2 linked regions of the Drosophila melanogaster genome follow. Changing the gene in region 1 together with any one later gene gives a genetic interaction. Each region holds a gene or a part of one and is shown on either strand. Other genes may lie near its edges.

Region 1 (7,721 bases):
CTGGTACGACCGCAACTTTAATGGTCCGCATATGATGACTTGCGTACCTATGTTGCCTTTGCAGCCCTTGAGGTACTTGGGCCATCGAAAGGAGCAATCGATGGCCTGCTCTTCTCCACCTTCTGCCTCTTAGTCGTTTCCGTCGGAGGCGTCAAGGTCGAGTTTGCCCGCTTCGAAGCAGAGTTGGGCCTTTGCTCTAGCGGCTGCGGTGTCTTGGCCAAAAACAAAGCTTCCGCAGGTGACTTGCCCTGCTGAAGGTAACTTAGATACCACTTCGTTCTGGCCCTGCACAGCGCCTTACGGTTAGGGCCATCCCGGGCCAGCTCCAGCCAAACTACGATTAGCCAGCACTCTTAGCAGAGACATGACCTAACTAAGAGCCTGTTTAGAGTCGCCCTCGCCTGGAGAATGTAGTTGCACTTCCAGCAGTGTATCACAATTACGGCGCGTACCACCAGGTGGTTGATACCCTTGTGATACCTACTGGCATGGCATTCTAGAATCATATGGTTTGTAATGTAATTTTTTTCTTGCCTGGCAAGAAGAAGATAGCGATGTCGAAGGTATGGTCACACATAAGCGAATTAAAATTGGGCAATCGACTATTTGGAATTATTTTGATAAATCGGCTGATGGCAGTGGACTTTTTTCAAAAGTGTAGGCATGGCAGCTTTGTGCGGCGTTTGAGCGGTCGTGGCAACATGGGTCAACAAACTTGCGCTGCGTCTATTGGCATAAGTATAACTCTATGTCTCTCGAATCTGAACCTTCTAGCTTTAATAGTTCCCTTATATGGTCGGAAACGCTTCCTTCTGCCCGATACATACTTTTTAACGAGCCTAGTATACTAATACTAATATATATATAAGAAGCTAACTGACTATTGTGCGCTTGGGATATCACTTTTGATACTAATTCAGTGAGTATACATAGTTTTAATGCATACTTATCATTATTGGTTTTTATTCGCATTAACGTTTGCTAATAAATCCTAGTAATCCAGGCACATACATTTTTCAGAGTTCAAGTAAGCGAAAAAAACCTTCCAGACTTACAGCTGCTTTTTCATCTTCGTTTAACGCGATAAAGAATCCGGAACAGCGTTTAAAGTACCCTTACGATGTCCAATTTTAAAACGATATTTTTGAAATGTCAACGACCATCGAGCAAATCGTGAGCAACATCGGCGAGACATGATCAGTTAAAATCTCTGAAATTTCGCATAGCTGCTATCGCCACCAAACATTTCTGCTCAGTCACAGAACACACTAGTCGGCACTACACACACTGTTGGCAGTAAAATTTTAAAATGACTTAATATGATAATAATGATTATTTTTTATTTGTTGGGTGTAAGTAATATAAACATAAAAATTAACAAACGATATAGACAAGTTAATGTAATATGATTATTTTTTGTATTGGCATAAGTATTTTGACAAGCCTTTAATACCTAAATAAATAAGTTTAAGTGAAGCTGCAGCTTTTTTTAACGAGTTATTCTCGAAAGAACTTACATCTGTCCATAAAACACTTTTCCAGAACGAAATTAGTGAACCGGGGTTAGAGTTTTCTTAAAAGTTTGCATCTCTATATTCCAAAGCGTTTGAAACTAACAAACACAAACTGTAATTTACAAAGTTAAGTTAAGAAATTCGACAGGGACAGATGATCAACCGAAGTTGGACGCTTACTGTGTTCCTCCATATAATTTTACCTCACCATTACTTAATTTAAGAATGTCTTCATTTTTGAAAATAATTGTGTCCAAGGGTAAACCAAAGTTCTTAAGCATTGTTTTCCCTGACAATTAAAATTGAACAAAAGAAAAATGATAAAGGAAATTAAAGTTGAAATTTTTAAAGTAAAGATATATTTGAATTTATTTATGAGTCTTAATAAGTTCTTTCTGTGCTCTCTAAGTCCATTCACGTTGGACCCACTTCTTCTTTAATAGATAATACAAATGAATTATATCAAAATCACTGGTTCCTGCGCAACTTATTGCGCCAACAACGGCAACGACTGACGTCTGGACTGCGGCAGCGCCGACCAAACACAAGTTTTGCAGTCTGACGGCTGTTAAACAAAATCCCAAAACTCCATACACAAACTAAACTAAACTATATACTAAAACTAGACATCAACTGAGTTGGGCATTTTAAACAATGTGCTAGCTTTGCAGTCGCTCTTTGCGGTGCTACACTTGTACCCGCTCCGTCATGCGAGTTAAACTGAAATGTATTCTAAGAATGAAATAAATTGTTAATAAGGAAAAGGTCATGTTATAAAATAAACCTACATTAATTAAAAAAATTAAACCTACACTTATACCTAAAACCATGGTATTTCATTAATTCATAAAATAAATAGCTGTCATAGACATATTTTTCACGATTTCTGTAAACTTATATACTTGGCGTACGTAGCATTTACTTCGGATATCACCTTAAGAGTAACAAATATATTTAAGTACATTCGGATTTTTTAATGTAAAAATATAAAGTTTTTGACATCTGATAGTATTTTGTTTAAAAAGAATGTTCGATCATCAATCATCCTCCGTTGCAACACTGCTGAATTTTCTGTAGTGGGCAAACTACATTTAGTTAGCTGTACATTTGTATATGCTTCTGAGTAGTGAGCTGTTAAGAAATTTTATTATAATATAATAAAAAAGCAATTAAAGGATTTGTTTTCTCTTAATTAAACATTTAATTTCTGCTTTCGTGTTAATATGTATATTCTACATTGGTTTGTAGTCACGTCTTAATGGTGGGAACAGTACTTTTAGTTCCGTTTACGCTGAATTTACATCTGTTAGGTCACACAGCAGAAGATGGCACATGCCTGCTTTCTTGTTTTATTTTAATGGGCAATAATAGCTTAAATTAGGAATATAACACTAAGTCAAAAGGTTTTTATTTCTGCGCTCCCATTGAAAAATGTCCAAAAATATATTTAACCCAACATCAGGTTAATATGTGATGATCAATTTCCTCCTTTAATACCAATTTTTAAATAAAAAAATGTCTTACGCAATGACTGATCATTTTTAAATTATTATATTATTTAATATTAATTGTGGAAATTGTGGCTGCCAAAAGACTGATGTACCTTTTGGGATCCGATTATAATTGGATCGGATAAACATTGACCAGTGTCGTTATCTTAACATATTATTAATGTTTTACGCCGTCGATTTTGATAAATCATATTTACGCATTTGTCTAAAGAGTAAAAAAAAGTTGAGTTTATATATTCATATCTTAAGTTATAGACTTTTGGTTAAATTCATAATAAAGTAAATAAAGATTTTGCACTTATTGCTGTTCACTTAAATAAGATAAAGTGGGACATATTCAGTTGTAAAAGTGTTATTACAATCCACGCATACATACATTGCGAATTTTGCAGATACGGTGTATTTTGTATCATAACATCTTTAGTAGTATTTCAAGTTTTCCAGAAGAAACGTTAGTCATGGAGGAATTTAATTCGAGCGGATCAGTAGTTAATGGTACAGGATCTACGGAAGTTCCTCAATCTAATGCTGAAGTTATAAGGGGACAAATATTTGAAGTTGGTCCTAGGTATATTAAACTCGCCTATATAGGTGAAGGAGCTTATGGCATGGTTGTGTAAGTACCTAATACCTATTTTTATTTTTGAAGCCGTTTTTAATCTACAGTGTTTGCACACCTCTTTCTTGTTGTTCCTTTGTCCATTATTCATAGTTTTTTTTTTATCTTGCGGTTCTCCTTCCGAAATGCAGTAATACTCAGAACCGTGTTCTCTTGATTTTATATCAAGTAATACATTTTGTTCAAGTCCTTTGCTGTAAGTTCGCATACATGGTATTGCTGAATCAATGTTATTTTTCGAAAATGCATTAAATTTATTCACATCAATCATACGCAGTACTAAGCTGTGAAACACTTAACAACGAAATAGTTTCTCAAATTTTTGATTTCTTTCTTTTTCTCTAAACGTGGCTTAGTTTTGCTTTTTCTTTGACAAAATCAATCTTTAAGGGTCGACACAACCGAGTTTGTTTTCATGCAAAAGCCTAAATTGGCCGATGGACTTTATAAATAAAGGAAAGTCAATAGCTTCTGAGTCATATTGCTTGCTTTTAAACGCTGCGCACAAAACTTTCGTTTACCGGTCGATCGGTTGTTCAACGCAATACAATTTCTCGCTAAACTTGGATTTGCTTGTTAAAGTACTCTTTTACTCGGTGCCTTTATACCTTTTTCTAATGCTTTTGGACATAATTAGGGATTATTCATTCATTCATTAAAAGTAAATTTGGAACCTACATTTTCAAAAATAAAAAATCAACACATTTTTTAAAAGTTGCAGTTGCAGTTTTGGGCGGAGAGTGGGCATGGCAACATTTCATTTTTCAGTATTTAAAAATAAAAAATATTTAGTTGAATTATTTTGTTATATTCTTATAAAATATTTAAAAAGCGGACATTTTGTTTTTTTTTTTAGTTTCTTTTAATTTTAAATTATAGTTTTATGTTTTTTGATTAGGTTGGAGTTTTGAGGTGGGTAGCAAATGGGGTTGATTGACTGAAGAGAGCATATTTTGGGGAGGGGTCAGTTCATGTAGTGGGCATTGGTAAGGTTGGTGTGTCCAAGCCTGAGCCTTTTTATTAGGATTTGTGTTTTCTTATTGTGTTATGTAGTGTTGTAGCTTGAAGGATGAGCTCATACCAGGGAAAATTGAGAAAAGTCGTCACAGTTGTAATTTGAGGAGTGTACAAGGGCGTATCTGTGGGCATCTTTAGCTGTTTTGTCGGCGTATTCGTTGGCGGATATGCCGATGTGAGTGGGCATCCATATAAGTTAAATAATTGGGAAGTGGTTGGTGAGAGGGTTTCTTATTGTGGATAGATATTATGAGATGTTGATTGGTATTGGTATTGGTGAGGAAATTTAGGGCGGACAGGAATTCGAAGCCCGGCGGCTAAATTTAATTTTGCTGGCGTTGCTTGTTACGCTATAGCTTATTATTTAATTGGATATCGAGCCATATGTGTGGCTGCATAGTTGCAAACCAATGTATGGCCGTTACGCATCTTGTTATTCTAGTGTCTTTGATATAACATTGGTTGCTGATTTTAGTGTTCTTCTGGACCTTAAACTAAAGTTTTTCAGATCATATTTCGACTATTGTCAATAAGGCAGGGGTGTGCTTGGTTTAATAAAAAGGAGGTCAAAGGAATTAAATGATCATTACAGCACCAAAACCTTATTCATTTCGCTAGTCCGTTCGATTCTTGAGTATACGTACCTCAATCGGATCGCATTGAATCGGTCCAAAAAAGTTCTTCTTTTAAGTTTATAGCTATTTGGCTGTACAAAGGAATACTTAAATATATTCCTTATTTGTCGCTGTTCTGCTATAAAAAATCGGAATTCACCACCATATCCTATTATTTGTTCTAATTTATTTTAACAGAATGTGCATAAATCCTTAATGACGAACATTTCTTGGACCTAATCCATCTTGGGACTGTTGGAGAACATCTATGGAGTCTGCCTTAGTTATTAGGTCTTCCATAGCGATATCATTCCTAATTATTTTACATGCGTATTTTACTAGATTCGTTGAAATGTATGTGACAGGCAGAAGAAAGCGTTTCCGACCACATAAAGTATATATATTCTTTATCAGGATTAATATCACACCAATTGTTTTCTTTGCAATTTTTTTTGCCTTTCTTTTCTTTCTTATCTTTGTTTTCCACACCAGAGTTATTTGTAATTTCTTTAACTACATAGCACAAAAGTTATTACTCTTTGCATGCCACTTAAATTATGAGTGATTTTGTAAATAATTCCTACTAAGCCCTAAAAATTGTCCCAGGGTCCTGTTTAACGAAATTCATTTCTGCGACGACGTTGTATTATTATAAATGTTTATTTTAAAATAATATTTCGCGAAATATGTGAGTGTAATATTAAACTTAAATGAGTTTACAAAAGTTTGTGGTGGTTCCCTGTGTTGATCTCAACACCGACTGGACACATTAATTGTATTGATCTCCATGCTCTCTTTTTTCACGCTCTCTTGTGGCGTTATTAATAACATGGTTTACTATACATTCATTTACTATATTCATTAAGCGTTTCAAATCATAATGTATTTCTAATGAACCCGCTGCTTCTTTTTTTTTCTTGTCCACTTTCTTATAGCAATCCAAGGCTTTCGCCTGTTGAAAATTTGTTCCAATGCTTATTAGTTCATATATGCTAAAAATCAAACTACTAAATCATATAGCAGAACATAAAGTTATTATATTATAGATGTTTTTATTCAAATAGTGTTCTAATTCGGTAAGCTACAGCATTTTGATAATATTTAACTTTATTTTTGCTTCGATAAAAATTGGACGGTAACATAGCTCAAAGAAGCTGGGGTCGGAAAAATCGAATTTTTAAAATTTGAAAGCTGGAATCGTTTGCCCATTTTTGCCCATGTTTGCCCACCAATTAGTTTTTTTGCCCACGTCCAGTTTTTGAGATATAAATTTTCGAAAAAGTTCGAAAATGTTCGAAAATCAAAAATTTCGTTTTTTTCAAATTTTTTTTTTAAATCGCAATAACATCGTTTGACCACGTTTGCCCACCCTTTAGAATTTTGAAAAAATGTATACTTTAGAAAATATAAGGCTTTTAAGTTTACCTCGGTCTAATCAGAGAGTAAATCGTTTGCCCATCTCTTAAAACCAAATATTATCAACAAAAAACGTTTGCCCAACCATTATTATTAGTTTTTATCGTTTGCCCACCCTTTAAAAAACCTTTAACAAAAATTTTTTTCGATTGCCCACATTTAAAATACACCCAATTTCGTTAGCCCACCTCTTTAAAATAAAAATTTCCAATAAAAAACGTTTGCCCACCATTTAAAAATAAATAATTTCGATTGCCCACCTTTTAAAACTAAATAATTTCGTTTGCCCATCCTTTGAAATTCATTTTTAACGTTTGCCCACCCTTTAAAAATAAATTATTTCGTTTGCCCACCCTTTAAAATTTGTTTTTTTCGTTTGCCCACTCTTAAAACTAAATAATTTCGATTGCCCACCTTTTAAAACTAAATAATTTCGTTTGCCCATCCTTTAAAATTCATTTTTAACGTTTGCCCACCCTTTAAAAATAAATTATTTCGTTTGCCCACCCTTTAAAATTTGTTTTTTTCGTTTGCCAATCGAAATTGGGCAATCGAAAAAAAATTTTTTGTTAAAGGTTTTTTAAAGGGTGGGCAAACGATAAAAACTAATAATAATGGTTGGGCAAACGTTTTTTGTTGATAATATTTGGTTTTAAGAGATGGGCAAACGATTTACTCTCTGATTAGACAGAGGTAAACTTAAAAGCCTTATATTTTCTAAAGTATAAATTTTTTCAAAATTCTAAAGGGTGGGCAAACGATGTTATTGCGATTTAAAAAAAAAAATTTGAAAAAAGCGAAATTTTTGATTTTCGAAAATTTTCGAACTTTTTCGAAAATTCATATCCCAAAAACTGGACGTGGGCAAAAAAAACTAATTGGTGGGCAAACATGGGCAAACGATTCCAGCTTTCAAATTTCAAAAATTCGATTTTTCCGACCCCAGCTTCTTTGCGCTCGGTAACATCCATACAGCCGCAGTAATTTAAAAAAAATCATAGTTTTGTTGTTTTTGATCATAAAAGGTTCT
Region 2 (5,645 bases), on another chromosome or scaffold:
TGCGTATTGTTGGCCGATCGCTTGTTTGCGATCGCCGTAGTTAAAATGATTCGGATTCGTGGACGCATCGCCCTCTGCCGTCTGACCCCGTGCAATCGAGTTGAACTTAGCAATTATCGCAGCCCACATCGATCATATCGCTGATATCCTTTGTGTCATTCTGCCGAACTGCGGTGCTGCCAAACTGTGTCTCCGTCTCCACCCATATTTCGGTGTTTATCTTTAAATTTAGCACTGTGACGATAATACAAAGCAACACAAATTACTTCTGTTGCGCTCTCACTCAGCGATTTAAATCGGGCAGACTGGGGGTTAAAAATACAAGCAGATGGAATTACCATCACCCGAGTACGTCAGTGAAAATTTTGCACCTTTTTGCATCATTTACAGTTACACTTACAGCAGCGAATGCGAATGTGGCGTATTTGTATTTACCATACGGAGGAAGCTGCGCGCCATTCATGAAAGCGCCGCTAAGGTCAACAAACAGATTTACATGCACACACGAATATGTGCAGCGTATTCGTACACAATATCCGAATACATATACAAATCCCCCCCTCAGTGTTTTAGTCGTTTCGTTTGTCACAGGTTTATTTTGCTTTTCGTGTGGCAACGCACCTGGAAAGGCGGCAGCGAAACGACTGGTATTGGGGTTACGAGGTGGAGCGCGGAAGCAGGGGAACGAGGCCTTCAATTAATTAACTCAAAAGTCGGCAAGATACTTATTGAATTATCGAATGAGCTGCTTGCCCCTACCCTAACCGCCCACTCGCAAGCAGTGTGTGAAGTAGTAGTACAGTCTATTCAAAACATAATATTTTTTGAACAGTTCAAACTGTTAAAATAAGCATATAAACGATATGTCAAGTTGGAGAACTGGACGGGGAAAAGTACTAGTTGGGGAGAGTCTGGGATAGAATTGTAAAATTTCCATGGAGTTACAACCCCAGAACAAAGCCCTCCCCCCCATAATTGGGCCTTTCCACTGAGAGCATCTTGTAGTCGGCCGACGTTATGAATTTGCACAAATTAAACGCTTTTATTTGATCAGTAGCCACAGCTCACGGTTGTGCAACGGACAAATAAACGGAAATATGCAAAACAGAAGGCAGCGCTCGAAATCCATTACGGGAAATGTAATTTCATAAATCGTTAATCAGCCTTATGGCGAGAAGAAAAACCATCGGAAGGTTAATAGTTCTACAAGGCGGAGGGCAGAGGACGGCGGTGCCCCATTGTTGACCTAGTGAGTGTGACAAGTGAAATCCGGAAATCACGCAGCTTAAGCTGTCAAAGCTATTGGCACATCATCTTCAGATCATTTGGCATGATGTGCGTTTTAGGATAACGACGAAAAGATCGCCCTAAAGCAGGATACCTATAAAAGCTGAGCATAAATTAGAAAAACAAAGATCAAGTTAACGAGCCAATCAACACGTTCAGCGATTATGAATCCGTTGCGATAAAAATCAAAATAAATAAATAAGCAACAACCGAAACCGACTGCACTACCAATCCGAGCTCAACTAAAAGTCAAAGATAATTTATGGGACATAATAATAGTCCAGCAGATACATATGCGATTGTTTTCTGGGTGTACTGTGCGAATCGAGATCGCCAAGATGGGGCCAGCCCACACAAACAATCGGACGGCACATGGCACAGCCGGGCAGATAAACACCAAGATCAGACACGGAGTGGGATGGAATCTTTGGGGAATGTGGACGACGGACAGCGCAACAGCGGGACATGGGTAAACATTCCGGGCGCGAGTGAAGAGATAATTCCGATCTGGCAGTGGGCCAAGATACGATGTCTGCAGTGGGCAATTCGCCGAACTCTCCCGGTTCTACAAGTGCGTAATTTAGCCAGTGCCTAACCAATAACTCAATCTTCAGCTCTAAATGAAAGAACCAATATCGAAACACAACTTGACAACGGGCCAATTGTGTGGGGGGGGTTGATATGTTGATATGTGACCATATTTGAGTGGCGATCTGAGCTGGGCCCCCTGCCATTTGCCATTCCACTCCCTTCACTTCACTTCGGCATTTGACAGTCGGAAATTCATTCATATTAGAACGTCAATTTACGATTGCTTGTTTTCGAGTCGAATGCTTTGCGTAAATATTTACTCATTTTGCGTGGCAATTCTGAACACATGACAGTATGTGCTGCGCTGATTTTTTTTTTTTTTTGCTTTGTTGCGGCGTCAACTGCCTGTGATTGCCTGCCTTATTAGGGTTAATGTTGATGGGCAGCAGATTGTCTCCAGATTTCCCGCGAATCATCTGCTACTCCGCGACATGTGACTGACAGGCGGGGCGACATACTACGATGCGATGGTAGCTCAAAATACCATTTCACCTGCTACGGGGTATCGTTTAGTTGGCAGCCTGACAACTTCATTACTCGCACTCCAATAACAATTAGTGCCTAATTTCGCACGCGCCCCAAATTAGCAGAACGCTGCTCTTTTTCTAACACTCTGGACTGGACTGCTGTCGTTTTTTTTGGGCGACCTGAACTTACGTGTAACCATGGAGCTGGACGCGCATGGTGGCCAAGAGGGACAGTGTGCTGTTGGAGCAGCTGGCGCCGCCGAAGGCGGCTGGGAACTGGGGCGGTGTGGCTGTCCAGGAGGTGGGCGTGGCCGGGTAGGAAGCCTGCGGGCTGGGTGTAAGACGGTGCAGAGATTCCGTCGATGTGGAGGCGGAGGCAGCGGCGGAGGGTTGGGCGGAGAGAGGACGACGTCTGCGCTGCAGTCGGTTGTCTCGATTACGTTGCGCGTCAGCGCCCTTGGCCACGCCCTTTATGATCTGGGCCAGCTCGTCGTGGGTCATACAGTTCTTGCAGGCCGGCTCCTGGGCCTCGGGTGTCTCCGTTGGTGGGGTGACCTTTGCTTTCCGACCCTTGCTGGCCTTGAACTTGCCGCTCCTTTCGCGCTCCTCCGAGCGTCTTCCCTTGCTTCCGTAGTGCGCCTGTATGGCTCTTTCGTACTCAAAGTTTCGCTGATTGTTGTAGGCATTGTTGTTGTTTAGCGTATTGTTATTGTTATTGTTGATATTGTTGTTGTTGTAGACTTGTTTCTCTTGCAGCTTGTGATTGACCACATTGCCCAGCGAGCTGGACAACTTTTCCAGACATTTGTTGAACAGCATTTTCTTCACACTCGTTTTCTCGCACACACCAAAACAAAAAGAAGCTTAGATAGTAGTATTCCACTGCGGAAAAATGCGTCTCGGCTGGGGTGTTTTTTTATTATTTTTTTTTTATTTTGTTATTGTTTTTGTTTTATGTAACAACTTGCCCACACACACGAACACACACTGAAAGCACAAAAACTAGAATTCTTGGTTTTTGTTTTTTGCCGCTGTTTGTTGTGCTTCTCTGTTTGCTTTTTATTGATCTTAGTCAGCTCGATTAGGGGAAATGTCTACAGTTTGTCAAATAGAGTGCTGTTTACCCCGCATTCGTTTATTATTGCACAATCTTCTTGAGAGCCAGCAACAGCTTCTTTTCGTACGACTTGACATTGATGGCCTTGGCCACGGTGGTGCTGCTGCTGTTGATGGTGCTGGTGGGTTTGACCTCTGCTGGGGATGCGGCCTGCTCGTCGAGTCGCGATTGTGCCGCCATCAAATGCTCCAGGACAAATGTGGCTGAAGGCATAATTTTCGCGCTTTGCCTTCGAATAACAAAAACACTCGATGGAACTTGTACTGGCGCCCAGTAGAAATGAAACGAACTGCTTGCCGCTCGACGACGAACGGCGACTGCTTGCGAGCTGAGCTGCTAACCCGTTGGATCACAACTCGAGAATGAAGCGCCTGCTGCCGAGTCTGAAGCTTTTTGCCTCGGATTCGAAATCGCAATCGGAATCGAAATCGGATTCTTGACGTTGTCTCAGCGCGGCTCCTCTCTTTGCGATTCGATTCTTCCGCTCTCTCTTAGTGGCTATATCTCTCGGACGGGAGCTGTGGCCTGGTGGTGTTCTAAGCGCTGGGGTATGAATGAATCTGAATCTTGACTGGCTGCGGACGGCGCTTTTTGTTTTTAAATCCAGCCGGCGCTCTGGTTAGCCCTTCCTGTCGATCTCGTGGGTGGGTGTTTTTATTTATGGGCTTTATTTACTGTCAGCGAGCCAGAAGTCACAAACAAATACAAAAAAAAACACAGTAAATAAAACGGAGCGAAAGACGTAACTTTGAAATTGATTGGCAGTGGGTGTGTGCACAGCTTTCCCCTGGGCTCCTGTTTCAGTATCATCAAACTGCTTGGGCCCCTCAGCGGGCGCCACTTAATTGTAGCCATCCTGTGGACGCCACTTACGGTTTATTCAGAAAGCGAAAGCACTTTGAATTGCAATCAACATTGTAAAAAATTACACTTTTACTTTTCATTTACTTTCAATTAAGTGCTAGAGCCAGGCTAATACCTATAAATATGTATAGCGGGCTCCACTCTATGTTTATTTCGTAATGACTGTACTCCTGGATGAGTCATGGAGTTCATCGCAATCAGAATCCGAATCATACACATTTCGAAAAGCAGGCACATAAGATTAATTCCAATCCGAAAATGGTCATTTCGTGATATGAGTGTGTTGTTGGCTTGTAAGAAAGCAAATACAAAAAGCGCTTTTAGCGCCGTCCGTTGCCTGCCACCGGAAATGAAACTGAAGCCGCACAGCAACTACTGTGGCGGCCATCTAGGCAAGGAACTGGGTTTGCTGGGGGGCAGGTGGGTTGGTGGGCAGGTGGGCAGGTTGGTAGTTGGGTAAGTGGGAGCTAGAAGCGAGCAGTGCCAAAGCTCTCTTACAGCGCAGGCGCAGACGTCAGAGGTGCGAACGTGCGCAGAATATCTTTTTTTTTTTTTTGGCCAGCAAAACAAAATCGTTCGACGTGCGACAGCCTGCGAACTGCGATCTAGCAACACTTTACTTCCAGCCTCGTATTCATGCCTCCCAACGATGACGAACTATTTTTTTTTTTTCCAACATTTCGTCATTGTTTTTTCGCTGGAAACCAACTAGAACTTGTTACCCAAACCACATTCAAAATCCACTCAATGGAAATTGTCTCCGAAGTGTTCGATCAAAATTGAAAATGCTCAGCTCAAACCAGTCGGGGAAACCCCATGTAGCTATGCATGCATGCATCAATGCAAACAGGATGTTCCAGGCCAGGTGGACCAGATCCGTGGAAACCACATGGGGCTTCTGGGCGCAGTTAGGTGTCGGTTAAGAATATTAGTCATTGCAATGGCAAATGCAAGACGAGAAGTGCATTAAAAGTGAGTAGAGATGATTTGAGCTACCTGATTGCTATCGATACAGAATTAAGAGCGAGGCCAACATTGGCCATTCGCAAGTTTAAGTTCTTAGAAATGATCGGGTAACGCAATTTAGAAGTGGCATTGACCAATAGCCTACCCAACGTGTTTACATTACGTATGGAATTACTAAAAGTTCCGGCGAAGTAGTGAGTGCCGTGAGTGCCGCCCTACCCAGAAATAAACTTGATCGGTACCAGTTGCCAGAGCGACAGCCCAGTCCCAGTATCCCCAGTGCTCCATTCCTGAGCTCCGCGACCTTGGCTATCCCGATTTCGTTGCTGGAGACCCAGACCGCATTTGGGCAC

The links.
Region 2: of rl (region 1) and csw, changing one suppresses a phenotype caused by changing the other (phenotypic suppression), as found in Drosophila melanogaster (3 studies listed by BioGRID).

What each region holds. Positions count from the first base shown.
Region 1 is NT_033778.4:1,068,799-1,076,519, forward strand, and holds the start of rl (rolled), read left to right. Parts: upstream 1-3,176; 5' UTR 3,177-3,247; exon of another isoform or gene 3,248-3,452; 5' UTR 3,453-3,483; coding exon 3,484-3,641; intron 3,642-5,473; exon of another isoform or gene 5,474-5,543; coding exon of another isoform or gene 5,544-5,566; intron 5,567-7,721. UniProt on the Drosophila melanogaster protein: Serine/threonine kinase which acts as an essential component of the MAP kinase signal transduction pathway to regulate proliferation, differentiation and effect cell fate decisions in various tissues.
Region 2 is NC_004354.4:2,100,666-2,106,310, reverse strand, and holds the start of csw (corkscrew), read right to left. Parts: upstream 4,023-5,645; 5' UTR 3,165-4,022; coding exon 2,536-3,164; intron 1-2,535. UniProt on the Drosophila melanogaster protein: Required in all receptor tyrosine kinase signaling pathways. Functions downstream of the receptor tyrosine kinase torso, acting in concert with D-Raf via tailless.